7 linked regions of the Mus musculus genome follow. The protein of the gene in region 3 purifies or fractionates together with the protein of the main gene of each other region. This does not show direct contact. Links are inferred from orthologs where the notes say so. Each region holds a gene or a part of one and is shown on either strand. Other genes may lie near its edges. The genes, in order: Nolc1, Ehmt2, Chd4, Ubtf, Hnrnpc, Sirt6 and Snw1.

What was found.
Region 1: the proteins of Chd4 (region 3) and Nolc1 purify together in Homo sapiens (affinity purification with mass spectrometry, with the first as the bait; 3 studies listed by BioGRID). This does not show direct contact. The link is inferred for Mus musculus from reciprocal best matches to the Homo sapiens genes CHD4 and NOLC1.
Region 2: the proteins of Chd4 (region 3) and Ehmt2 purify together in Homo sapiens (affinity purification with western blotting; 3 studies listed by BioGRID and IntAct, with this or other methods). This does not show direct contact. The link is inferred for Mus musculus from reciprocal best matches to the Homo sapiens genes CHD4 and EHMT2.
Region 4: the proteins of Chd4 (region 3) and Ubtf purify together in Homo sapiens (affinity purification with mass spectrometry, with the first as the bait; 3 studies listed by BioGRID). This does not show direct contact. The link is inferred for Mus musculus from reciprocal best matches to the Homo sapiens genes CHD4 and UBTF.
Region 5: the proteins of Chd4 (region 3) and Hnrnpc purify together in Homo sapiens (affinity purification with western blotting; 3 studies listed by BioGRID, with this or other methods). This does not show direct contact. The link is inferred for Mus musculus from reciprocal best matches to the Homo sapiens genes CHD4 and HNRNPC.
Region 6: the proteins of Chd4 (region 3) and Sirt6 purify together in Homo sapiens (affinity purification with mass spectrometry; 3 studies listed by BioGRID, with this or other methods). This does not show direct contact. The link is inferred for Mus musculus from reciprocal best matches to the Homo sapiens genes CHD4 and SIRT6.
Region 7: the proteins of Chd4 (region 3) and Snw1 purify together in Homo sapiens (affinity purification with mass spectrometry; 3 studies listed by BioGRID and IntAct, with this or other methods). This does not show direct contact. The link is inferred for Mus musculus from reciprocal best matches to the Homo sapiens genes CHD4 and SNW1.

Annotation. Positions count from the first base shown.
Region 1 is NC_000085.6:46,074,571-46,078,646, reverse strand, and holds the start of Nolc1 (nucleolar and coiled-body phosphoprotein 1), read right to left. Parts: upstream 2,801-4,076; 5' UTR 2,618-2,800; coding exon 2,498-2,617; intron 1-2,497. UniProt on the Homo sapiens protein: Nucleolar protein that acts as a regulator of RNA polymerase I by connecting RNA polymerase I with enzymes responsible for ribosomal processing and modification.
Region 2 is NC_000083.6:34,911,772-34,914,573, reverse strand, and holds the end of Ehmt2 (histone-lysine N-methyltransferase EHMT2), read right to left. Parts: intron 2,186-2,802; coding exon 2,107-2,185; intron 1,941-2,106; coding exon 1,765-1,940; intron 935-1,764; coding exon 754-934; 3' UTR 501-753; downstream 1-500. Other genes in the region: Slc44a4 (choline transporter-like protein 4), read right to left, coding at 275-335. UniProt on the Homo sapiens protein: Histone methyltransferase that specifically mono- and dimethylates 'Lys-9' of histone H3 (H3K9me1 and H3K9me2, respectively) in euchromatin.
Region 3 is NC_000072.6:125,105,981-125,109,480, reverse strand, and holds part of Chd4 (chromodomain-helicase-DNA-binding protein 4), read right to left. Parts: intron 3,073-3,500; coding exon 2,941-3,072; intron 2,842-2,940; coding exon 2,745-2,841; intron 2,014-2,744; coding exon 1,822-2,013; intron 1,201-1,821; coding exon 1,000-1,200; intron 823-999; coding exon 685-822; intron 430-684; coding exon 308-429; intron 190-307; coding exon 16-189; intron 1-15. UniProt on the Homo sapiens protein: ATP-dependent chromatin-remodeling factor that binds and distorts nucleosomal DNA. Acts as a component of the histone deacetylase NuRD complex which participates in the remodeling of chromatin.
Region 4 is NC_000077.6:102,312,597-102,316,096, forward strand, and holds part of Ubtf (nucleolar transcription factor 1), read right to left. Parts: intron 2,444-3,500; coding exon 2,268-2,443; intron 1,627-2,267; coding exon 1,543-1,626; intron 1,458-1,542; coding exon 1,302-1,457; coding exon of another isoform or gene 1,266-1,301; exon of another isoform or gene 1,013-1,265; intron 1-1,012. UniProt on the Homo sapiens protein: Recognizes the ribosomal RNA gene promoter and activates transcription mediated by RNA polymerase I (Pol I) through cooperative interactions with the transcription factor SL1/TIF-IB complex.
Region 5 is NC_000080.6:52,073,022-52,076,521, forward strand, and holds the end of Hnrnpc (heterogeneous nuclear ribonucleoproteins C1/C2), read right to left. Parts: intron 2,706-3,500; coding exon 2,592-2,705; intron 2,416-2,591; coding exon 2,234-2,415; intron 2,140-2,233; coding exon 2,059-2,139; 3' UTR 356-2,058; downstream 1-355. UniProt on the Homo sapiens protein: Binds pre-mRNA and nucleates the assembly of 40S hnRNP particles. Interacts with poly-U tracts in the 3'-UTR or 5'-UTR of mRNA and modulates the stability and the level of translation of bound mRNA molecules. Single HNRNPC tetramers bind 230-240 nucleotides.
Region 6 is NC_000076.6:81,624,738-81,628,997, reverse strand, and holds the start of Sirt6 (NAD-dependent protein deacetylase sirtuin-6), read left to right. Parts: upstream 1-1,460; coding exon 1,461-1,526; intron 1,527-1,675; exon of another isoform or gene 1,676-2,106; intron 2,107-2,380; coding exon 2,381-2,508; exon of another isoform or gene 2,509-2,570; intron 2,571-3,099; coding exon 3,100-3,282; intron 3,283-3,881; coding exon 3,882-3,941; intron 3,942-4,260. UniProt on the Homo sapiens protein: NAD-dependent protein deacetylase, deacylase and mono-ADP-ribosyltransferase that plays an essential role in DNA damage repair, telomere maintenance, metabolic homeostasis, inflammation, tumorigenesis and aging.
Region 7 is NC_000078.6:87,469,500-87,473,605, reverse strand, and holds the start of Snw1 (SNW domain-containing protein 1), read left to right. Parts: upstream 1-1,306; 5' UTR 1,307-1,344; coding exon 1,345-1,358; intron 1,359-4,106. UniProt on the Homo sapiens protein: Involved in pre-mRNA splicing as component of the spliceosome. As a component of the minor spliceosome, involved in the splicing of U12-type introns in pre-mRNAs.

The sequences.
Region 1 (4,076 bases), on a different chromosome or scaffold from region 3:
TTACTCCTTGATCAAATGTAATCTGTCAGCCAGGCATGGTCCCAGCACTTCAAAGAAAGAGGCTGGCAGATCAGTGAGTTCAAGGCCCACCTGGACTACATACAGAGTTCCAGACAGCCAGGGTTATGTAAAGAGACCTTGTCTCAAAAGTTATGCTATCTCCCTACTTAACTCAAAATGGATGTTACATCTTAAGACTTTTCCTACTTGTATAACTCAGGAGGAAAATATTACGCTTACATATCACCTAACTTTGAGCGTGAAAACTTTATGGTATATCCCTGTGCCTTTCCATATCTTTTAAAGTCTTAGAAATGTTGTACCAATTGATAACAGAGCGTTAGCTGAGGGCTGGAGAGATGGCTAAGTCGCTGAGAGAGCATGTTACTCTCCCAGAGGACCTGAGTTCATTACCAGCACCCAGAACAGGAGACGCAACAGTACCTGTTAACTCCACATACAGAGCTTCTGACATCTCTGGCCTCATAATTTCTAACTATTAACTTTTTTTTTTCTAATTAAATGACTTTTAAAGGCAGAAAGGCAGGGCTAGATAGGTGGCTCAGTGGTTAAGAGCACTGTCTGCTCCTTCAGAAGACCCAGGTTCAACTCCCAGTACTCACATGGCAGCTCTCACACAGACAGACATGCAGGCAAAACACAAATGTGCAGAATAAACTGTAAGCAAACAGAAAGGTGCGAGGTACGGTGGCACGCGCCTTTAACTCTAGCACATGGAAAGGAGAGGCAAGCAGATCGGAGTTTAAGCCAGCTTGGTCTACATAGTGAGTTCAAGGACAGCCAGAACATAGAGACCCTGCCTTAAGGAGGGAGGGAGGGTGCCGAGCAGTGGTGACACACACCTTTAATCCCAGCACTTGGAAGGCAGAGGCAGAGGCAGGCGGATTTCTGAGTTCAAGGCCAGACTGGTCTACTGAGTTCCAGGACAGCCAGGGCTACACAGAGAAACCCTGTCTCGAAAAACCAAAAAAATAAAGTAAAATAGGAGGGAGGGAAGAAGAGGAGAGTAATAATGAGCACTGGCTAGATGGTCCATCAATTCAGAGCACATGGAGTTGGGGGGGGGGGTTGGGGGATGTATTACCAGATCACATGTCAGGCTGTCCCGGCTGAAAGAACTCCCTTATTATGAGACTGACCTGATCTTTCCTTTTGTGGCAAAAATCACCTTTTTGTATTTTGCTACAAAGAAGTAACCTATCTCAAAAGATCTGGTGGCCTATAACCCAAGAGTCCCAGGATCTAAGGCCTACAGCCTTTCAAGGTGTTTCCACGAACACTACAGCTTTTCTTTCATTTTTTTTCCCCCTTATTTATGTGAGTTCATCTTTGCTGTCTTCAGACACACTAGAAGAATGGGCATCTGATCCCATTACAGATGGTTGTGAGCCACCATGTGGTTGGTTGCTGAGAATTGAACTCGGGACCTCTAAAAGAGCAGTCAGTGGTCGTAACTGCTGAGCCGTCTCTCCAGCCCGCTACAGCTTTTCTTAAGGTGCAGAGTAAACATTTTGCTCTTACATAACAGCTGTCACTCACCCCATGTTCCTGTGTGCCTACAATGGAGTTACTACTTTGTGCATTTTTCTCTCAGTGAGTCTCATTCACTCAAAAGCTGTAAATTGGGCTGAGCATGGTGATATACACCTTTAATCCCAGCACTTGGTAGACAGAGACTGAGCTGAGTTCAAGGCCAGTATGGTATACAAAGTGTGCTGCAGGGCAGTAAGGCACTTAGCATGAAGAGGCTGTGACAAGAGGTACAGAAGTTCATATCCATCCTCCACTACACAAGGACTACATGAACTTTGTCTCAAACAAAAGGCTGCTGGGATCATACATGCAGAAAGCCGCAGAGCCTGGCCTAACATCACTACCTGGAGCTCCAAGCTCAGTGCCAACTTAACACAGGCGGACGCTCACTACTCCTAGAGTATACTGAAAGCAACCTATCACCACACTCATTCATTTTTTTCTTTTTAAAAAAATAAGTAAATACAATATGAAGTCCTAGCTATCATTACTTCGCAATTTATCCCTGCACTCACTCATCTTCTTTTGTAAAAACAAACAAGTGTATAAATAGAATCCAAGCCTTCATTACTAAAATCTTTGAGTCTCAGGTAAAACTGCAATTAAGGGTAAGTCCAACAAAAAGTACAGAAGAACCACGCACCGCCAACCCAATGCTCCCGGAGGGATCTAGCGCCACATGTCCTGGGTCACGAGGGACCCATGCCTGTCACCGCTGCAAAAACTCACACCAAGTAAAAGCCGTAATACTCGGAGCTAGCTAGTCAGACATGGTGGAAGGAGACACCGAGACCTCCAGCCTGAGGAAGGTCCGCAGAGAAGCTGGGCAGACAACGGACTGACAGACCCCAGCCCTCGCCTCCTTAACTTCTAAAGCCGACAAGGCCTAGATTAGCTCGGAGAGTCGTCCCACCCCGGCCCGCAGACCAAACCAAGGACTCACAGCGCCGGTCGCTTTTGCAAATTTACTGGCCACCTCCGAGAGTTGGCTATCCCGCAGAAATCTGAGCACAAGGGGATAAAGGTCGCTGGGAACCACGCGGCGCAAGCCGGTATCCGCCATGCTCCGGGTAAAACGCGTCACTACCGTTGCGCACGCGGCACGACTTAAGAACACCAAAGCACAGCCCGGGTCGAGGGCGGGTCCAGTGTCGTCATCAAGTCGCGCGCGGCGCGCAGCGGAAAAGAGTGGCGCACACGAGGTCGCGTACCCTCCACCCGGGAGGAGAGACCCAGACTAAATCTAGAAGTTGCTTCCGGTCCCACACGCGTCATCATCCTGCAGGGGGCGGAGCCCACGAGCCGCCCACTAAGGAGGCGGAGCTTCTACGTCAGATGCCACGCTCCTGTCCGAGGCGGGAAAACTTGCAAATTCCCGCGCATTACCTTTGCTGAATGGGCTTCTTCCTACTGTAGATTTCCAAGCCCTGGCTGCTACTGAGACCTCACAGTACTGAATGGACTAACAATAATGGGTGCACTGGAGAACTCGAGGCTCTTTCAACCCTTCTAGAGGTGTCACCTACTGCTCAAACTCCCACGGACAATGGCTTCCTCCCTCCCTTCACACCCAGTGAAGTCCTTCAGGATACCACCCAGACCCAGACTCAAATCAGAGGATCCTAAAAGTTGTGGTGACAAGGTGTTGGTACCCCACATTGTCTGTCAGTCATAGCTAGGTTACAAGACAGTTATCCTTCCCATCTACAATTCGGAGAACAGGAACACGGGACCATCCCAGGGAAAAGATCAAGAAAAATCCTTTCTTCCTAAAGAAAGAAGTCACAGTGAATTCGGAAAACTTCAGTATCAGCTACTGTCCAGGTCAGGAAGCAATAAAGATGCACTTCCGGTGAATACCTTTCTTTTACTTTCCTCAAAACAGGCGCTCCTTCTAAAAGGACCCGTTATCCTATTTCCCAGAGGTGCTTCTATGCATACACAATCGTTTGTTTGTTTGTTTTGGCTTGTTTTTTTTTTTTCCAAGACAGAAAGGTTTCTCCGTATAGCCCTGGCTGTCCTGGAACTAACTTTGTAGACCAGGCTGGCCTCGAACTTAGAAATCCGTCTGCCTCCCGAGTGCTGGGATTAAAGGCTTGCGCCACCACGCCCGGCCTCAAAATCGTTTTTTTTAAAATACACACACCACCGGGCGGTGGTGGCGTACACCTTTAATCGCAGCACTCGGGAGGCAGAGGCAGGCGGATTTCTGAGTTCGAGGCCAGCCTGGTCTACAAAGTGACTTCCAGGACAGCCAGGGCTACACGGAGAAACCCTGTCTCGGAAAAAAAGAAAAAAAAAAAAAATTCACAAACCAAGATGGTGATCAAAACCAAACTGGTGAGCTTTAATGACACTTAATAGACACTAACCCCAGTTGAGAAAACTTTTATTCTCATAGGTATGGTGGCAAATGATTTTTTTGTTGTTGTTTTGTTTTGTTTTTCCGAGACAGGATTTCTCTGTAGCCCTGGCTGTCCTGGAGCTCACTTTGTAGACCAGGCTGGCCTTGAACTCAGAAA
Region 2 (2,802 bases), on a different chromosome or scaffold from region 3:
TGCAGAGCCCGGCCACCTCTCTCCAGAGCCCGGGCCTCTGCCCCTAGCCTTACCGTGAGCCTCGTTCTCATTCTGCTTTCTCCCCATGGCTCAGTCTCCGGAGTGATTGGAGCCACGGAGACCTAGCCGCTCACCTGCCGCCCGCCCCGCCCTCCCTCCCAGACGTCACAGCCCCGCCCCTGCCTGTGGTCCTCTACAGTTCCTTTTTCAGATCTCAACTCTTGACCAGCCCAGGGGTACCAGGGCTCAGAACTGGGTCCCAGGAGCTGCTTACCGGGTCTGCTACGGACCGCAGCAGGAAGAAACCGGAGCACTTTGATAAGGAAACACTGCATAATTGTTTAGAGTACTTCAACTGTGGCACACCCAAACCTCTAGGTTGTGATTTGCTTTTCCTTAAACCCCTGTGGCCAGTGGGTGCCCCACAGCTGTTCTCTTCCACCCCACAGCCACAGCTTGCTTCCTACCCAACTGTCCCCTCAGCCCCATAGTCCTCATCGTCCTGAAACAATCACCAGACAGTTTATTACCAAACCCAACATTTATTGAGAACACAGAAAATCAGCTGGCAGAGGCCCAACTTCAATCAGCTAACTGAGGCCAGGCTCAGTGGGGAAGGCCAGCCCTGAAGTCACTTGCACTCCCAGTGAGAAACCAGCTCTGGGAGAGGGGCCATCGACCTTCCAGGCCTTACTGGGGTCTCTGATGGAGAAATGTCTGAAGGGCAGTGCCCGGCCTGGATTTTAAGAGTCCTCAGGTGTTGATGGGGGGCAGGGAGCTGAGGTCAGGGAGCAGCTCCGGGTGGGGGTCCAGCCGGGCCAGGCGGCTCTGCTCCAGGGCGATGGCCTCCGCTGAATGCTTGCACTTCTCAGAGCCACACTGGCAGGTGAAATACTTGCTCTTGATGTCCCAGAATCGGTCACCGTAGTCAAAGCTGGCAGAGGAAACACAGGAGCTCTTGGCCCTTGGATCTAGACACTTCAAACCCATCTCATAGAGCCCAGGAGCCCTCTTGAGGGATCCACCTTCTTCCACCCAACCACTCCTGCAGATGGACTCCAGGTCCTTGTTGGCTCTGTTGACTCACACTCCCAGAGAACTGTCATAAATGCAGGCTTCTAGCCTTCCTGCCTTGTGACCAGACTCTCCCGAGGCTCTGCGGGAAGTGGGATGCAGCCTGCCCAGGGCCTAGTATACTCAACCATCCAGCCAACCCACACTAGCCCCCATCCCCCTTCTTGTTTTTTGCTTAAGATAGGGTCTCTCTACATAGGCCTGGCTGTCCTGAACTCTGTAGTTAGCCCAGGCTGGCCTTGAATTTGTAGGTACTTCTGCTTCAAGCTCTTTCAAACACTAGCATGACAGGCATGTGATACCAGGGCAACCTGGACTTCTCTTGTTTTGTTTTGACACAGGGTCTCACTCTGTAGCCCAGACTCTTTGTGATCCTCCTGCCTCAGCCTCCTGAGTGCTGTGATCATGAATGTATGTTCCTACTCCTGCCTTACACAGTTTTAACAAGCCTTCCAAGGGACACCTAAGAACACCAAAGGAAGCCGGGTATGGTAGCACACACCTTTAATCCCAGCACTTGGGAGGCAGAGGCAGGCAGATTTCTGAGTTCGAGGCCAGCCTGGTCTACAGAGTGAGTTCCAGGACAGCCAGGACTACACAGAGAAACCCTGTCCCGAAAAACCGGGAAAAAAAAAAAAAAAAAAAAAAGAACACCAAAGGCTGGTCAGTGCCCTCAGGCTGGCTCCTCACCCCAGCTCCTCCCCAGTCCGGATGTCCCTGGAGCTGAAGAAGGCAATGCGTGGGAACCGTAGATCTTGGTGCAGCATGAAAACCCGGACAGGGATGATGTTGGGGTCACACAGGTGGTTAATGAATCGGCTGATGTTGCCATAGTAACGGGCATCAATGCAGTAAACCTCGCCATCCTGGGGGTGGAGACACAGTGTTCTTAATATCCACTTCTATCCACTTGCCTGGCTAGTGTTCCTGCAGTGACACCCAGTCCCTCCACCCAGGCTTCCAGTCCCAGATGTTACAGGTGGCTGCACAAAGCAGCCTTTGGTAGTTGAGGGCAGAGGTGCTGCATCCCACCTTGTTATCTAAATCGAAGAGGTAAGAATCATCCTCTCTCACATCAGCCTCGGCATCAGAGATCAGCTCTCCTACATACCTGTTGGACGGAAACTTCAGTTCTGCATGAACAGTGAGCAGGGCTCCCGGCCCCACCTTCCCACTCAGTTCTCAGAGCCCAGGGGAGAGATGCAGGACATGGTCCAGCCACTAGGGGTCGCTGTGCAGCTGTAGACAGGCAGGTGGGAGGCTCTGTACAGGTGGAGCCTGCAAGACCTGAGCAGGCATGGTGGGAGATGACGTGTGTGTGTGTGTGTGTGTGTGTGTGTGTGTGTGTGAGCCTGTGTTCTGGGGATTAGCATCCCTGGTGGCTGGCTGGGTGGAAAGTTGCCAGGCTTAGACATTAGGAGGTGTGTGCACCAGGAACTATCAAACAGGTGGTAGGCTCTGCGCAGCTACATCAGTCATGAGGTCGCCCCATGTGGCTGGAAGAGGAATTGCCCAAGAGAAGTGGGTGTCTGAGAAGTTGAGGGAACAGAGAAACTGGGAGGTCCTCGGAGCAGGTGAAGGGGCTTCTCTGCTCTAAAGGCCACAGAGAACCTAGGTGAGTCTGACGGCAGAGGGGAGGAAGTGCACAGGAAAAAGCTATTCTCCACTTTACAGATCTGTCTGCCACAGGCATGCTCCATCTAGGCAGCGTGCAGGTAAAGGGGGGAC
Region 3 (3,500 bases):
TCCCTTCACACTCACTTCTGCATAGGACTCAACTCCACGCGCACAATCAGCTCTGTCTTGGATGGCATATTCTTGAAGACGTCAGCTTTGAGCCGCCGCAACATATGAGGCCCCAGCATGTCGTGGAGTTTTTTAATCTGGTCCTCTTTGGCAATGTCTGCAAACTCCTCCAAGAAGCCTTCTAAGTTGCTTCAGAAAAAAGAAAAAAGTTGTTAGAGAAGGGGAAACAAGGAAGAAAGGAAAGTAACACAGGAAATGGGCAAGAATGAGTAGAGCTAGGGACTGACTGACTGACAGGCGCACTTACTGGAACCTCTCAGGGGTGAGAAAGTTGAGCAGATGAAACAGTTCCTCTAGATTGTTCTGTAACGGAGTTCCAGTTAGCAACAGCTTGTGCTGGAGTGAGTAACCATTCAAAACTCGAAAGAACTGGTGAAGAGAAATAAAAATCAAGAAACGAGGGCACCAGAGTATTGCAACAGAATGCCAAGCTGTTTCACTGTCCAGTGAACTAAGTGTCTCATCCCATGGCTGGCATCCTTCTTAAAGGCCTGGCCAGAGAAGGGCTGCCGTGGTGAGGAAGGAAATAAAGACCACTTTCCCTTCTTCTCTACTTAGGGTTCTTTCAAAGAGATGAATTTCCCCAAGGACTAGAACTGGAGGCCGTTTCCTCCCACACCTCACCTTAGACTGGTTGTTCTTCAGCCGATGGGCTTCATCCACAATGAGGCAGGCCCAGTCAATAGAACCCAAGATGGCCATATCAATGGTGATCAACTCATAGGATGTCAGCAGAACATGGAATTTCACCGATGCTTCTTTCTGCACATAACAATAAGCCCGTCTCTCACTACTGGTCCACATCCACACAATGGGACAGGTAGGCTTTCCCTGCTCCCAAAGTTCTCTTTCTGCCTCACTTAGAGACCAGGTGAGGCAGCAAACCAGCCAACAGCAGTGACTCGCTCAACAGTCTCCTCCTCCCACACACTAAGATACCTTCATCCTCGAGGCCTTCTTGCCACCACGAATGGCATTGTCTTCAAAGGAGAACTCATTTTCCCGGATGATGGCACGGCTGTCCTTGTCACCCACATAGGTTACCACATACATATCAGGAGCCCACATCTCAAACTCTCTCTCCCAGTTGATGATGGTGGACAGAGGAGCGCTCACTAAGAAGGGGCCTTTGGAGTGACCCTGGGAGGAAGAAGGCAGGCAGAGTCAGGACTAAGAGCCCCATCCCTAAACCCCAGACTCCATCTCCCCCACCCCTGCCCCACCCCACAGTGAAGCTGATGCCTGACACCTGCGCCTCTGCCTCCCTGCCTCCCATCATTTACAAAAGCCATTTATCCCTCTCTTAGGCCCACCGTGACAAAAACCAAATTCCTCCAAGACCAACTGTAATTCCCTCAAAACACATGCCAGGCACTGAGTCTACCAGGGCTCTGATCCTGTAAAATTTCCACTGTAGGATCTAGAAAGACGGCTCTAGCTGCTCTTGCAGAGGTCCTACATTCAGATCCCAGCACCCACACGATGGCTTATAGTCTGCAATTCCAGTTTAAGGAGGTGACACCCTCTTCTGGCCTCCCAAGGTACTGCACACAGGTGGTGCACAACCATACTTATGGTCAATATACAGACAAAAATAATTAGAAAAAAAAGAAAAAGAAAAGAAAGGATTTGCACTGCAGACCTGTGTCTTCCTACCCCTCAGCAGCACCTCCTCCTCCTCCCTTCCTCCAACTCCTTAAAGCACAAGAAAAGAATACAGAATACCCACACCAAGCACTAGCATCTCCTGGCATCTTTTACCTCCTTATAGAGGGAGTAGAGGAAGACTGCTGTCTGCACAGTTTTCCCAAGGCCCATCTCATCAGCCAAGATAGTATCGGTTCCCTGAGCCCAGGAGAAGCGGAGCCAGTTTAAGCCTTCCATTTGGTAGGGATGCAGGGTTCCACCCGTCGCATCCAGATACTCCGGCTGTCGCTCATACTTCACGGTGGGCTAAGGATGAAGAGAAGTCACAATCTGGTAAAGAAGCCCTTCCCGGAGACGGGGACGGCAGACAGTAGCTGCTTCCTCCTACACAAGTCCTCACTAGATATTTTTTTCCTAAGAGCTAAGAGAAACAAAACCAAACCAAATAAAAAAGCCCTTAGGGAAATAAGGCATTGTAGGACCCGCCTATAATCCTAGTACTTAGGCTGAGACAGAAGGATTGAGCTCAAGGCCAGTCCTGGAACCAGAAGGAAATACTGTCTTTGGAGTGATAACAATAAAGAATTAAAGTGAAGTGGAGTAGCCAAAGAATCCACCAGGCCCTAACGGACAGACAGACATCAGTTAAATCCAGTGGGTCACAGAACAAAAGGCACGAATGTGGGCACGAGCTCCAGGGAAGAATGGGGCGGCTGAGGGAAGGGGAAAGGTCATCGGGGCATGGGGACAATAAGCAGAAGGTGCTGTGGACCTGTGTGACCCTCAATACACTTGGCAGAGGGAGTGATGGGAACCTCACTGCTCACTGCAGGATGCGGCCTAGGATCCTTTAGCAGACAGGGCTACATATCTAGGCTTCAGGTAGACCTGACACAGAGCACCATTTACAACACCCAGCGTTTGCTTTCTGACCATCTCAGCTAGAGCTATCCACAGGCCATGACTTGGAGCTTCACCATGACTGCAGCATACTTCCCACACAACAAACACACCCTTCCTGTTCCACCCATACTCACATCAACAGTTGGGGTCTCCGGAGGCCTTTCCAGTTTCCGTAGCTTCACCTTCTTAAGCTTCTTGCCGGGTCGTCCTTCTTCACCCCTCATTAACTCCCTAGGAAAGAAAACACACCACAGCTGCCTCTTGGTCCCTGTCCTTCCAAGAGAGAGCAAGAGCACGTCTGCTCTTCCTTGCTCGCTCACAGTCACCGACCTGTGGTTCCAGTAGCTCTGCTTGAACAGGTCGTAGTCCTGAATCTCCACGTCCTCGCTCTCCCAGGACGCCTGGTCATAGGGCAGGTCTCGCCACTTGATTAAATAGTGAACGTGGCCCTTCTTGTCCACACTACAAGATCAAGAAAGAAAAACTCATCAGAGTCAGAAAGCAACTTCCCTCACCTCTCTAGTCAGCCTTGCTCTTAAAAACCGACAAAACCGGGCTGGTGAGATGGCTCAGTGGGTAAGAGTACCCGACTGTTCTTCCAAAGGTCCAGAGTTCAAATCCCAGCAACCACATGGTGGCTCACAACCATCTGTAACAAGATCTGCCGTCTTCTTCTGGAGTGTCTGAAGACAGCTATAGTATACTTACATATAATAAAGTGTTCATTTATAAACAAAAAACAAAAAAAAACAAAAAAAAAACCGACAAAACCATTCTAAGTGTGCCAGATTCCACATATATTCAGAGCCTCAATGATACCTATTTTTGAACCAATACTCTCTCTCTAATCTATACTCTCGCTGTGGGCCAAATTCAGAAGAAACGTCTCT
Region 4 (3,500 bases), on a different chromosome or scaffold from region 3:
GAGCAAGCAAGGAGGCAGCTCATTTCCACCATGCTTCCCAACAGAAACCAGAAACAGCACGGCCTCCCTAGGGCACCCTCAGTCCTCCTCAGACGGGAACTTAAAAGGCATCTCAGGGTTCACCCTCCACGCCTCAATCAGGAGTACTGAAGTGACTTACCTGAAGGACCAGACACAGCCGACCGGCAACAATATGACAGGCCCACATTAGTGTGCCCGTGCCTAAGCTTTCTCCACTCAAGTTTCTCTGTCCCTCCCTGCTTCTGCTTCTTAGCCTCTCTCTCCCACCCCTCAGGGGTCTGGTGGTGTGTGTAGTCACAGTCCCAAGTCCTCACCCATGGGGTCAATGGCAGCCCTGCCAGTTAATGCTACTTGGGCTTGGGTATGGGCCACAGACAGCTGGTTTTACCCAACCAAGCCTATCCCATTTTGGATTTAACAGTAAGAGCATATGAGCTCAGCCAGATTAATTCGTTTGACTCTGTGTTCTTTGCCCACCAGTGTGCATCCTTCAGACCCTACTGCCCGGCACTGACACCCTTGGCCTCATCACCCAGCATCTCCTCCTCACGTTTGGCTCTCTCCCATCTTTAACGTGTTGAACTCCCTTCAGTATTTTGCTTCCCTGTCTTCCAGGGAACCCCCCTGAGCTTGTCTTGGGCTTTATCCATCTCTGCCCAGGAGGTTCGGACAACGTTTACCTAAAGGCCTACACCCCTGAGAATCTGGACAGGGGTCTGTTTCTGTAGGAGGAAGCAGCCTGAGGCAAGGAGAGACCGTGTACCCTTGTACACGGGAAAACAAGGTCACTTATGTGACGCGGCAGGGGGAAGAGCACTGGAGGGCAGAAGAGGTTCCAAACTCAAGTGTGTTCCAGCATCATTTAGCTGGAAGCCTCAAGCTACTCAGCACTCCTATGCCCCAGTCCTTGCTCAGGACAACCAGTCTCTCCCCTTTCCTGGGTCTCTTGTCTACTCAAGTATCATGGTGGGTAGGAGAATGGCTGCACAGATTCACAGGGAGTGTGGCTGTTTGGCTGTGGGGTACAGGAGCAGTCTGAACGCCTTCAGGGTCCTCCCCTGCAATGGGTCCTGTCTGACCATGTGTGGGCCAGGAGGGGGATAGGTACCCCGGTGACCTCCAAAACAACTACACTGTTGTGTTGACCCCTCCACACGCCCAATATGGAGTCCCTTTTGTCTCTCTAAGGCCTATCCCCACCCCGCTGACCTTCCCACACCAGCTGCCCCCTCCTGCAAGTATAACTACCCTCCCCACACCTGAGCCCCCCCTCCCCCCACCTTCTTCTTCTCTGGAAGTTCCTTGTATTTCTTAGACAGGATCTTAGTCAGGTCCAGGTTGCTCATCTCCGGGTGGAGCTTCGCGTACTTGGCCCGCTTCTCCATGAAGAAGCGGAAGTAAGGGGTGAGAGGTTTCTTTGGAAAATCCGGGTGTTTCTGGAACACAGGAAAGCGGGGTTAGATGCCACCTATCCTTTAAACCCCTCTTCCCTGACGCGAGCTTCTCCTCCTGGTAACTCACCTTGAGCTTTTTGCCTTTGTAAGGGTTTTTAACATGTTCCTGAGCATCAAGGATCAATTCTGTCAATGTACGGAACTTCCTTACCTGGGGGAGCAAACAGGAAGAAAGGAATTTGGGAAACATCACTGCATAGTCCAGCATCCCTTTACAGTGTTAGCACTGCCCTCCACCACACTGAGTTCAATGAAGAAAATAAAGCGACAACATAGATTATAGGCAACTTCTGACCCAGAGGCACTCGCTCATATCTGCTACAGAGGCCCAAGTAGTTGGGGACAACCTAAGAGCAGTCACAGACTGATTTCAACGTAGCTTCCATGCCTGCATCTCATTCAGCCCCTAGAGTATCCAAAGTCACCTAGAAGATTGTGGTAGAACTGTGAGCACTAGGCGGTTGCTATCGCCCAGGCCACTTCCTCCCCTAAGGCATACATTAGAGCTGACAGAAGAACACGTGAAGGCCTTCTGTCCAAAGTGACTGGTTTGCTTTCCCCGTTTTCTCTGAGATGAAAAGCATATACACAGCCGGGCGTGGTGGCGCACGCCTTTAATCCCAGCACTCAGGAGGCAGGGGCAGGCGGATTTGAGGTCAAGGCCAGCCTGGTCTACAGAGTGAGTTCCAGGACAGCCAGGGCTACACAGAGAAACCCTGTTTCTGAAGGAAAAAAAAATAGCATATACAATATGTATTTATTTACAGGAGTCAAAAAGTGGGAAGCACTTACCTCGTTAGAAATCTCCACCCATTTGAGCTTGCACATATCTCCTGAAAAATCCTTAAACGCAACTTTTTCCCAATCCATGTGCGACTCTGTGGTTTTGAACTTGGAGCTGTCGTTGGATGGGAGGTTGTTCTTCATGCATTCCAGCAGAGTCAGCATATCTTCCTGGGACCAGCGGTCTGTGACATGTAAGAGAAGTCACCACACCTGGCTCATGCCCTTCTCTTGATCTGTTCCCCAGCCTCTGAGTTCACCCCCTCCTCCCCAAAGCCCCTGGTTGCTTCTCATCTGAACCAGTACATGGCTCAGTCCTAAAAAAGAAAAATAACCGTGGTCCTATTAAATCAGGGAAGGGACTCTGGACCAGATAAAATAACCACCATACTTAAGTTACACTGGGAATCCTGTCTTGCTTACCTCAAAGCAATCACTTTTAACATGCTAGGCTGCCATGGGCCCCTATTTACAGTATGAGATGGAGTGGGAAGTCTAGTGATTTAGGGCCTATGGACAAAGGGCTCATCAGAAAGGGAGGGATCAGGGAAAGAACGTATCTAAATGTGGTCAGGCTCTATGTGAGTGTCAAACATGCAAGGCCTGAGGTTGAGGTGTGAGTCCTAAGGCTCCCAGTGAAGATGTCTGTCCAGCACAGCTGGAGATCAACAACTAAAGGCAGGTACTCCACCACTCTAGTCACTTTAAGGGAGACCAAAGCAGCATTTCTGGCAACTGAGAAAAGTGGAATTCAAACATTAGCACCATACACAGTAGTTCTGAGAAAAGGCAAGCAGGTGGACAGAGTTCTCAGGGCCTTGGTCTCTGGAGAACCCCAGAACTCCAAGTTGACATCTTAGCCCAATTATTTTCAGCTGCTAAAGTGCAGCCCAGAGACAGCTCTGAGCCTCTCTGCTATGGAGGCTGGGCTGGGGGAACCCTTGGCCAGGATGCAAAAGAGCTCCTGACTTTCATTTGCATCTGGTAACCTGGGCCGGTTTCCGCAGAAAAGGGTCACATGGCCCATAATCCTCTCTCCCCTGATGTCTCACAAACATTGGCAGATGCCCAGTTTCCTACTACCCTCCATGTCATAAACATAACACTGCTGACAGAGGTGGCTAGGGTCGGGGCATCTATAATTCCTAAGGCTTGGAGCCATAAACCACAATCCCCTTCCCTGTTTTCCACCTGCCTCTAGTGAAAATCTCCACTAAGGTGTGATACTTCAAGCTAAGAAAC
Region 5 (3,500 bases), on a different chromosome or scaffold from region 3:
CCAGCAGCCACATCAGATCTGATGCCATCTTCCACCCCAATCTTTTTTAAAAAACTAGAAATGAACAAAATCTCACAACTTTGAAAGACTTAAGATATTCTCATAGTGGAATAAACCTGTGAACATTTTAACTTGACAAGTTTTAGTATTAACTTAGTTTAATACCACCAGTAAAATATCCTAAATAGTTCTCTAACAATATCTAAATAGTTCTAAATAGTTTCCAAAATAAACTAGCAACAGCAGTTTGAGGGAGGGCCAGGGATGACACCCTTTTTTAGTCACATGCTGGCACTTAGTGTTCCTATGAAGACACAGGCTCCTGAGTCTTTTGCTGATGTATATACCAACTATGAAAAGGGACAGAACCACAGTCTTTATTCTCAAATTTCCCAACTGCTTTTTTTGGGGGGAGGGGGCGGGGGAGTCACCTGAATAAATACAATACCCAATATCAGAAAGTACCCAATACTGAACTAATTGAACCCACCCCAGCATTTTGTACACACCAGCTTCTAACAGCATATTTAAACAGGTTTTATTTATTAGCATCTTTAACCTCTGATATCTAGCCAATTCCTCAAAAACCCAAGACAATATCAAGATTAGGGGAAGGGGCAGAGGGGGGTCACAATAAAAGCCATTTTTATATTTGCACACTGGAGCCAAGGGAAGCCCCTAGATCAGCCTCTCCTCAGTTTTATCATGGGTTACTTTTGCCTACAATGCATAGCATGAAAGCATAGACTTGCAGCTGTATGCTAGATATACACAACAGGGTCTTTTTGAGAAGTAGAAAGTCTGTGTGCATAAAAGATTTGAATAGCCTGCTATACAAAAATAAACAAACAAGCCCCCAAATCTGTTTATACCTTTACCTTATGTTAGGTCTTACACAGCAAAATGTTCCAAGCTGACTCAAACAAATCAAGAAAAGGGGTAAGAGTACTTCACATGGGTAATTATAACTCTCGTTATAGACTCAGTTCTTAGGAAGGCAAATGCTATATAAAACGGGAAAGACAAATGCTTTCCTATTTTGAAACTTTTGAGGCACAGGTTGAGAATGCAATAAAGAAACCTGGGTTTTAATCAGTAACTGAACATTCAAGCACTCCGTGTCAAAAATATTTAAAGTTAACAATGCTCTCAAAATGACTTTTATTCATATATATTGGTATGCATGAAGATTATATTTAATACAACCTAACGATTTGTGGAGGCTGCTATTAAAAAAAAAATGTAATTGAAAAACTTTCTTTCCAGCAGGGTGTGGTGGCGCACGGCTTTAATCCCAGCACTCAGGAGGCAGAGGCAGGCAGATCTCTGAGTTCCAGGCCAGCCTGGTCTACAAAGTGGGTTCCAGGACAGCCAGGCCTATATAGAAAAATCCTGTCTCGGAAAAAAAAAAATTGTCTTTCCTTCAAATTCCTGGTTTAATAAGGAACTGTTTATTTTTGAGAAAAAGATCCCAAACATCAGGCTGTTCACAAAAATAACCCATGGTATAACTTTAGAAAACAAATATTAAGACTATTACACTATTTTCCTGTAAGATGCATTTGACATGCCAACTCCCATTCACAAAAATACATGGTTACATTCGTGTTGTAACAGTCCCACTCACGTGAGGGAAAACACACACCTCTAATGCAAAGCTGCTCTTGGGGTTACAAGTAAATGAGATGCCTCTGCAGTTAGGGAAGCAACTACTGAAGTCATGAATGGGAAGAACTGTACTCCCTGCATAACAAGAGATTATTTTGGAGACAGTTGATAAAAACCATACAACTTTTTATTGTTAAGTCAAAGAGGTATCAAAATTAAAGCAAAACTTACAGGGTGAGACTTAACGAAAGTACTACGGAGCATCAAAGGAAGTGGAACTGTAACTAGGCGCAGGGCAATCATGAATTAATGAACACAGGGAGGGTAAGGCGGGACAACAGTGAGAATGTGCAGAAGACCCCAGGGGAGATGACCTGGTGTTACTTTCATCTCCCACAAACGCCTAGGTAAATGAATAATGGGATAAGATTTCTAAGCTCCACTATGTGCTTAAGAGTCATCCTCCCCATTGGCGCTGTCTCTGTCGTCTTCTCCTTCCTCAGGCTCTTTTTCATCATCCTTCAACTCCAGCTGTGAGAAAGACACAAATAAGGGAGAGTTAGAGGTACTCTTCTCATCCCTGGACCCCAGTCCTCCCAACTTTCTTTTTTCCAAAGGTAATCACCTGGTCATCCCCCCGATCTTCATTATCGTCATCATCCAGCAGGTCACCCTCCTCAGCAGAGTCATCTGCACCTGCCTCAGACTCCATCTTCACATTAGTCTCATCTTTCTTCACAGAGGCGCTGCTCTGCTCTTCTTCAGACTTTTCATTCTTCATCTCTACTGGGGATGAGAAGGACAAGTCTGTCCAGGGGCAAGTGTTGCCCACAGGATATAGACAATTCCCATTAATCATCAAAGAACAAAAGTAAAGTTTTCCAAATAAATTAATGCCCCTTCCAAACAGCCCAATTTGCATATACATTAAACCACCTTAGGAAGATAACCCAAATTCAATTAGAAAATTAAAAGACTATTACCTGCTTGCTTGCTTTGTTCTTTTTCAATTTTTTCCAGGCTTTCCAGAAGAGAATCCACTTTTTGTTTTATCTGAGTCAGCTCCTTTTTAATGGCCTGAAGGTCATCACCTTTCACTGTAACAGAACTACAATGTTAGACTAGAATAAAGCACCATTTACCAGTTACTGAAAGTGTTCTTTCTAGGTGCTGTGCCTTAGGTCTCAGAACCACAGGAAGAAATGTTTTTCTAGTTAACAATTCAAAAAGCTGAAAGAAATACAGAGGCACCAACTGCAATAGTAACTAGTAATCTTTAGTCAGCAAATGATTTAAAAATAATTTTTAAAAAAAAGCTATAAATGCCTTACATAGTATCACTTTAACCTAAACATGTATTTTCCTGACCAAAAAAATATCATTCTATTTTATAGCAACTTCTAAGTTGTCTTATCATTGTGTATGTGCCCATGTTCATGAAAGTGTTCCGATACAGGGAAGGCTTTCAGTCTCCTGTCTACACCCCCATTTCTCCTTAGGGGCACTGAGATTAGCCCAGCTTTACTTCTGTTTTAAAAAGAAACAAAACAAAAAACTTAAGCTGAGAATTTCAACTAAGATACTGCAATTGCTCTATTTACTTTCTCAGCTTTCATAGTTTGCTGACATACTTCAATTATGTCGATCAATATAGAAAACTGACAACCAAGAGTATGCCCTAGCTAAAATTTAGTTCAACATAAACATTTATAAAATTAACCAAGCTATTAAGTACAGAACTCAGACTACAATCCTTAAACAACATTCTTTCCCCCTCTTCCCTGGTTTGTATTTTTTTGGGTAAACTGAGACCAATGCCAGGTGTCACCTTGCTCTCTATCACAGGATATAGGAGGTGTTTTAAGAGATTAAGAACAGTGTTGGGCTGGAGA
Region 6 (4,260 bases), on a different chromosome or scaffold from region 3:
CTACCCATCCATCCATCCATTCACTGATCCCACCTCCTCTACTAATCAGGTTCACTTTCACCCCACACCTACCACCAAGGGTGGGTGACAAAACACCCAAAAGAGTTGTCCACATGCTACCAGTCTGAAGGAAATCGCCACGGCAAGGTGGCAGGGAAGGCCTGTGGATTTAAGGGTTTGCCTTCTGAAGAGGTGACACAGCACAGGTGACGCTGCGCACTGGGCCTGGGCCTTGGCTCCCGCGTGGGATGTGTGCACCTGTCACAAGTGTGCAGATGCGTGTGTTCATACTGTTGCAGGTAGCACCCCTCACCAGCACCCAGACTTCCCTGGCCTCCCTCACCCACATCCCCCTACCTCAGGCGACTCCAGACCGGAACCCAGCGTCCAAGCAGCCTCTCTGGTTACCCGCTCCAGCTGCGAGCCACCAGCAGCAGAGTAGAGGTGACACCCGATCAGGTTGGGGTGGGGGAGCGGGGGACGGATGAGCCAAGGGAGGAGACAAGCTGCTGTTAGCCAGCTTGCTCAGATGGGCAGCCCCAAGGACGGCCTCTCCCACCTCCTTGTGTGCTCCTGCCTCCTCGAAGCCTTTCTTGGGGTCTCCACGGGGATCAGGAGGCTTCGGTTGTTATATGCTGCCATTGACCCATCACATGGCTCCTGTGTCTGTTGATTACCAACAGGCAGAATGGTCAGATAGTGCCTCCCATCTCTAGATGGCCACGGAAGCAGGGCTCTTCACCTCTCTCCTTGCATCTCTGGGCACCTCTGGGTAACACGTGGAACTCGCCCAGTTCTGTGGACCTAACCCTATGCTCTGTGATATTCCGGGAGGTGCACTCCAGAAACTAACCCAGGAAATGTTGGCAGGGGGCCCAGAGGTCTTTCCTCTGCCCAAGAACCCCAGTTTTCCATTCATTCTCTCCTGTAGCCAGAGTCAGGCAGACCCTGGATGACAGTCACAAAGGTTAGGGTATCATGTAGCCTAGCGTGGCTTCGAACTTTCTGTCCCCTCCTGCCAGTGCTATAAGCACTCCGGGCAGGGCTCTACACACTGAGAACTGTGGATTTTTGTTTTGCTTTGTTTGGTTTCATTTCTGGGTTTTGCTGATGTTGTCTCTTTTGAAACAGGGAGTTGGTCTGGGACTCGCAATCCCCCTGCCTCGACTCCTGTGAGTGGCCTCATCACTTTTCTGGCTCTGGTCGCGGATCCCAGGACTGGGGAATCCACTAAGTCAGAGAGGTAGTCTCGGCCAGCACTGAAGACTAAGCTTGCTGCATCAGGAGGGCGCATGCGCTCTGGAAAGAATGCTGTTTTTCACCTCCACGTACCCACCCCACCCTCAGGCACGTATCTAGGGAAGGCGGCTACTCTTTCCCGACCGTCCCTTCACCACTTCCGGCGGAAGCGGCCTCAACAAGGGAAACTTTATTGTTCCCGTGCGGCAGCGCCGGCGACGATGTCGGTGAATTATGCAGCAGGGTTGTCGCCTTACGCGGATAAGGGCAAGTGCGGGCTGCCCGAGGTGAGAGCTGCAGTGTTCGAGTCACCGAATGACCCCAGACGGGGAGCGGCCGGGCGAAGCGGGGCATTGTGGGAACAGCATGAAACATAGAGTCTAGACAATGGGAGGGACTTCCCTGGAAGGAGGGGGCGGGAAGTGACACCCACTGCTCAGGCTGGGTGACACGGAGGAACCTGGGTCAGGGAAGGAGTGAGGGGCTAATGGGAACGAGACCAAATCGTCAGGTCAGGGAGTGGACGTCTTAATTGTCAGGGAAAACCTGGAGCTGTGGGAAGATCTGCAGGGCCGGAAGCTGGCACCCTTTCCTGGGGGCATCCCTGTACCCCACTCTGTACTCCTCCCTGAATCTGGGCCAGATGGATCCTGAGTGTGGGGCTGTCAGTCTTTGTTGTTTCTGAAGGGGTGTAGTAGGGTGGAGGGTTCTCTCTTTGTAGCCCAGGCTGGCCCCGAACTCACAGGAATCTTCCTGCCTCTGCCTCCCGAGTACTGGTGTTAAAGGCCTGCGACACCATGCCCTGCCTGCCTCATGTTAACGGAGCCCCTAGACAAGTAGAGCTGCATCTTGATTTAGGGGAGAGAGGTGGGTTATCTAAAGTCCAGGATGGGGGATGACGTCAGTGGGGAGGTCACGTGGGCCACAACCAGACCAGGACAAAGGAGTGGCTGCCTGCAGGAACAGCACTCTGGGAAGAGGGCTCGGCATGTGCAAAGGCCCTGGGGTAGGACACAGCGATGTGTTAAGAGTGTGGCTGGAACTGAGGGATGTTGAGAAGGGGCAGACAGAGCATTGACCCACAGGAGGCCTGCCACTTGGGAGGTCACGTGTTGCCTCCTCCTGCCCTCTGACCCTACAGATCTTCGACCCACCAGAGGAGCTGGAACGCAAGGTGTGGGAGCTGGCCCGGCTAATGTGGCAGTCCTCCAGCGTGGTTTTCCACACGGGCGCCGGCATCAGCACCGCCTCTGGCATCCCCGACTTCAGGTCGGTGAACAATGAGGGGAAACTGAGGCAGGGCTCTTGCTGATACACCTCTAGGGACTAAGGTGAGGTGGCAGAAGGACCTTTCAGTTTTCCTATGTCTCTGAAAGGCCCAGCAAAAACTCCACTTGCCCAAGGATCAGAGCATGCCCACATAATGTAGTAGCTGCAAGGCATGCTGGGAAATGTATTCATGCAGCTCGGCCAGCCACTGGGTTTTCTAGGGTCAGAATGACTCAATGTTGTGGAGTGACTAGCTCACCCATAACCTTCGGTGGCAGCCTATGACCACTGTAAAGCATTCTGGGAACCCGCAGCCGGTCTTAACCAGTACTCAGCCCCAGCTCCACTAGCTCCCCTGCCTTTGTTTACCCCCAGACCCTCAGCCCCTCCGCCTCTTTCATGAAGACGTCCCATGCTCTTTAGAATTCTTGCCTACCCGGCAGTCATTGTCTCCACCACAGGATACAGAACCACCCTAAGAACGGGGCTGGGGCCAGCATGGGCTGACTTCAGCATTAACAGGAAGAGCCCACAGCCTGGAAAATGAATGTTTGACCTCTGTGCCTGTCCTCCTCTGCTTGCTATCCTCAGAGGCCCCCATGGCGTGTGGACCATGGAGGAACGCGGCCTGGCCCCCAAGTTTGACACCACCTTCGAGAATGCTCGGCCCTCGAAGACCCACATGGCCCTGGTTCAGCTAGAACGCATGGGCTTCCTCAGCTTCCTGGTCAGCCAGAACGTAGACGGGCTGCACGTGCGCTCGGGCTTCCCCAGGTCCGATGAGTCGGCCGGGGGGCTGGGGCTCAATTGCATCTCTTCCTCCTTATTGGACCAGGGTGCCCTAGCTCAGGGGCATTTATTAGGGATGCAAAGAGGGGGAAGGCTCGGAGCCCAAAGCCGGGCAGTACTTGGTCAAATTGGGGGGATGTAGGCAGGGTTCCACCCCTCACTGGGGTGGGGTGGGGAGGTTGGCAGGGGCTTTAGGGCCAACTGACTGTTGCGGCAGAGGGCGAGTACATGACAGAATTTCTCCATGTCTTGGCTACCCTGGGACTTGCCCTGTAGATCAGGCTCACAGAGATCCACTTGCCTCTGCCTCCCAATGGAGGGATTAAAGGGGTGTGCCGCGGCTAGCCAACAGGTTTTTTGTAGTGGGGAGGAGGTATTTGTGAGTTTGTGAAGACACCGTCAGACAGCTATGCATGCAACAGTTCCTCAGAATGGGACAGGCTGGGACATCCTCCAGGAAAGAGAAGTGGACGCCCCTTGTGAGTGAGCCCCCTAGGAAGGCTTTCTGGAGGAGGAGGCAGACTGAGCAGCTGGTCCAAGCCCCAGGATCTGGGAAGGGTCCTTACTGGCATCTTCTTCTGCAGGGACAAGCTGGCAGAGCTGCACGGAAACATGTTTGTAGAGGAATGTCCCAAGTGTAAGACGTGAGTGTTGCCCGTGTAACACAAGACCCTGCTCCTCCCCTAAGCCAGCTCAGGGTCCTAGCATGGCCTAGAGAAGGCCAGAGACAGTCAGATGAAAACAGACCAACAAAGGCTCGTAGACAAATGGGGCAAACCCTTTCTTCACAGCCCCCCAAGGGAGAAGCTGGTCATGCCCTTGGCAATGAGGGGTTCTCCCTGCCCTGCCTTTGCTATGGCTCTGGGCTGGGTGTCAACATGGCTTGCACACCAGAGCCTCGGGGTGTTGAGCAGGACTGTGCCTCCTGAGCTTTGGCCCCTGACTCCCTCTTAGGGGTTCTTT
Region 7 (4,106 bases), on a different chromosome or scaffold from region 3:
GGTTTTGGGCTATGCCTTTCTGATTTCCCACATTCATTATTTTAACATTGCCCTCAGTAGCCTCTTTAGTCTCTCATTACCATAGAAAACCAGTGTGTGGCAAGAAGAGTCCTTTTGTTTGTTTGGCGTGGTGATTTACTTATGCTTAGTGCAAGGTGTGGTACTCTCAGGAGGTATGGCATTGTTGGAGGAGGTTTGCCACTGTGGATGTAGGACTTTGAAGAGATCTATATCTACTCAAGCTCTGCCCAGAGTGAGACAAGCAGTCTCTCCTTACTGCCTTCAAATTGGCTTGCTGAACTCTCAGCTCCTTCTCCAGCACTATGTCTGCCTGGATGCTGCTATAATGATAATGAACTGAACCCCTGAAAATTTAAGCCAGCTACAAGTGATATTTTCCTTTATAAAAGTTGCCTCAGTCATGGCATCTTTTCACAGTAATGGGTACACTAAGACAGTTTGGTTTTAGTCTTTTGAGACAGGGTTTCTTTGTGTAGTCTTGGCCATCCTAGAACTAGCTCTGTAGACCAGACTGGCTTTGAACTCACAGTGATCTACCTCTGGGATTAAAGGCATGTGCCTCAACTGCTGGACTAAGAACTGTCTTTCTTGAGCTGCATTCAGTGGCAAAGACCTTTGATCCTAACACTTAGGAGGCAGTGTCAAGCTGATGTCAGATCATGACCAGCTTGGTCTATAGGAAAAGTTCCAAGGCAGCCAGGACTACACAGAAAAACCCTATCTCAGAAAGAAATAATTGTCTTTCTTACCTGTCTCAGTCCTACTTCAGCTCCAAATTATCAGCTGAACTAAATCTACGCTCATTGATCTTAATTTCTAGCATCTTCTTTATTTGCCACACCCCACACTGTTTTTTAAATAATTCATTCGTGAAGCAAAATTTAAAGTAGATGACTGTTAACACAACGATTAACTATATGCACGGAGGGTGGCTTATAGTGGGGGATCAGCCAGACTTTGCATCCTATTCAAAACTCTTAAGCAGTACTATGTGTAGCGGCCTTAAAGCAGAGTTGGATAATAGTATTAGCGTCCCAAAATAAGGCTTTATATCATATTTTGTATTATCACTACTGACATGTTAAACAGAGACCCTGTAGCCTGTAAAATCTACAGAAGTAAGGAATTTCGTATGCTAAGGTAGTTGTTGCTAACGCACTTTCAACAGACTGGCTGTCACAAGTCTCTCTCAAAGAACTACAAGGCCCAGAGGGCCGTTCGGTCAGAGCGCCTGCGCAGTGAGCATTTTTCCATTGTGTTCCTCGTTCCCGGGCAAGACTCGCCCGGCGACGTTGTGGCCTGCGCAGGAAGAAGCGGAAGAAGATGGCGCTCACCAGGTGGGTTGTTGATTTGGGTCCTCGATACGGAAGGGTCTGGAGTACACATCTTTTCCTTTCTGCCCGTACTGTTCGGGCTGTGACCTGGCCTGAGGCGCAGAAGTAACTTAGTCAAAACCGTGGCTGGAACCTCTCTCGGGCTTCCTCCGCGACTAGGCCGCGCCGAAGCCGGGGTCTTTCCTTCGGGGCTTCCCGGGTTGAGTTCGCCCCCCCCTGTTCCGAGAGCCCTGACATGGCCTCGCCGCGAGGACCTCACATGTGCTTCGCGTAAGCGGCGCGGTAGATTGACGAGCGCCTTGTGGACTGCGGGCTGAGATGGTTGCACTGCGAAGCCGCGGCTTATTTAACCCCGCTAAGCAAAGCTCGCCCGTCTCGTGGGAGGCTTTCCAGCCGCTTGTATGTTTTGTGCTTCTCATTTTCTCCTGCTACTCTCTCTCTCCCGAAACAAAGATTTTTGCAAAAAAAAAAAAAAAAACAAAACAAAAAAACAAAGAGTTGGGAACGTCCGAGAACCGACCAAGTTTTTTTTTAATTGACAGCAGTAGGGGCTGCTGTTGACTAAATGCGCGCCGCTCCACCTTTTAACTTTGGATCTTAGAATTTCTTTTGTACATAGAACCACCTCCGGCTTTTGCTGTTCCTGGTTGCCCTGGTTACTGTATGTAAAGTGTTTCCAACCTTTAAGGAAAAGAAAATGCTAAGTGGGAGACTTCCAAAAAGTTATGTAACTCCCAACTGCTGTAAGTGGAAAAACTTTCCATGCAAACTCAGCTGGAAAAGTCTGATTTTAAAGAAGGTATTCACTTTAGGGCCTTGGATTGTACCTGTTAAACCCACTTCTCATATTTTTTCCTGGCTCATAACAATATGAATCCTAAGAATATTTTGGTTATATGAATTAAGGTTTGTTGTCCTGCTTTGCCCTAGAGGTAGTATATGTAGAATGAAAAAAAAATTTTTTTTAAACCGGGAAGATGGACAAGTGGGTACACGGATGAAAATAGTGCAGGCGGGAGGATCTCAGAGTTCCAAGGCCAATCAGGTCTGTATAGGTAGTTTAAGGCCAGGATTTAAAAACAAAAACAGAATAACACTGACCTGGTTAGCTTTAACTGTCTGCTTAACACCTGGTCAAAAGATATCAGGTGAAAAAATTGCCTAGAACAGATTGGCTTATGGACATGTCTGGAAAGGATTGTTTTTCTTGCTAAGAGATGCAGGAAGATCCAAACCACTAATGGCTGCTCCATTCCCTAGGCGGGATATCCTGAACAGTATAAGCTAGATGAGTATAAGCCACTCTGCCAACCAGCAAGCAGCTTACATGGTGCCTAGCCTGCCTGCCTGCTTGCCTCCCTCCTTCCTTCTCTGCAAGAAAGCAAGTCCCTCTTGCTCTTGATTGTCTGTGGGATTTCACTAGCTGCCTTGACATCTCTCGTGGGTTTTAACCTGGAATTAAAAGCCAAATGTACTGGCTGGGTTTGTGTGTCAATTTGACACAAGCTCAATTTATCACACAGATAGGAGCCTCACTTAAGGAAATGCCTCCACGAGATCCAGCTGTAAGGCACTTACTCAATTAGTGATCAAAGGCGGGAGGGCCCAGCCAATTGTGGGTTGTGTCATCCCTGGGCTGGTAGTTCTGGGTTTTATAAGAAAGCGAACTGAGCAAGCCAGGGGAAGCAATCCAGAAAGCAGCAGCCTCCATGGGTACTGCATGAGCTCCTACCTCCAAGTTCCTGCCCTGTGCGAGTCCCTTTCCTTACTTTCTTTGGTGATAAACAGCATTGTGTAAGTGTAAGCTCAATAAACCCTTTCCTCCCCCTACTTGCTTCTTGGTCATGATGTTTTGTGCAAGAATACATACAGTGACTAAGACATCAGATAAGCCCTTCCTCCTGTAAATTGTGTTTTGCCGCAGTTTTTTAACAACAGCCACAGAAATGAAACTGGAACCAACAGATGATGTACTGGTACATCAACAGATGTGTGGTCCTAGCCTCGGTACAGAAAAATAAGAGTGAGTTGTGCTGACTGAGTGTTTTAGATAGCAAATATTCGAGTCTTCTTCAGGCACTATGATACAGATTAGTAGGACCATGAGAGGGAAAGTAGAATTTGAAATGGATGCACACAAGAAGAACGCCAGAGGTATAATATGTCTTGAGTGCCTATCAGCAATGCTAAAAGGTGAAGTCTCAAAATGGTCGGGCTTGAGGACTACAAAGCTTTCATTTCTGTGTTTTTAAATGTTGTTTATAAAACTAGCAAATACGGACTGGGGAGGAATAGGTCAGTGGTTCAAAGCAGTGGCTGTTCTTGCAGAGGACCTGGTATGTTTCCCAGCACCCACATGGCAGCTCAGGTTGCTCTGTCTGGTAAATGAATAGTTAATCATAATGCAGAAAGTTGGATGGTATACACATGGTCTAGACAGCTTTAATCCCAAAACTGGGGAAGCAGCTGGATCTACACAGTGAGAGTCTGTCTGCTGACAATGAAAACAGAAAAACCAATAGGAAAGCACAGTAGCATAATGTGGAATTCCTCTATAATCTCATTACTCTAGAGGCTGAGGCTAGACAGGGACAAGTTCAAGACCAGCCTGGACTACCTAAATAGGCCTTGTTAAAAATTAGGAAGGCCACCAAACCCGGACACTATTGCATATGCCAGAAAGAGTTTGCTGAAGGGACCCTGTTATAGCTGTCTCATATGAGGCTATGCCAGTGCCTGGCAAATACAGAA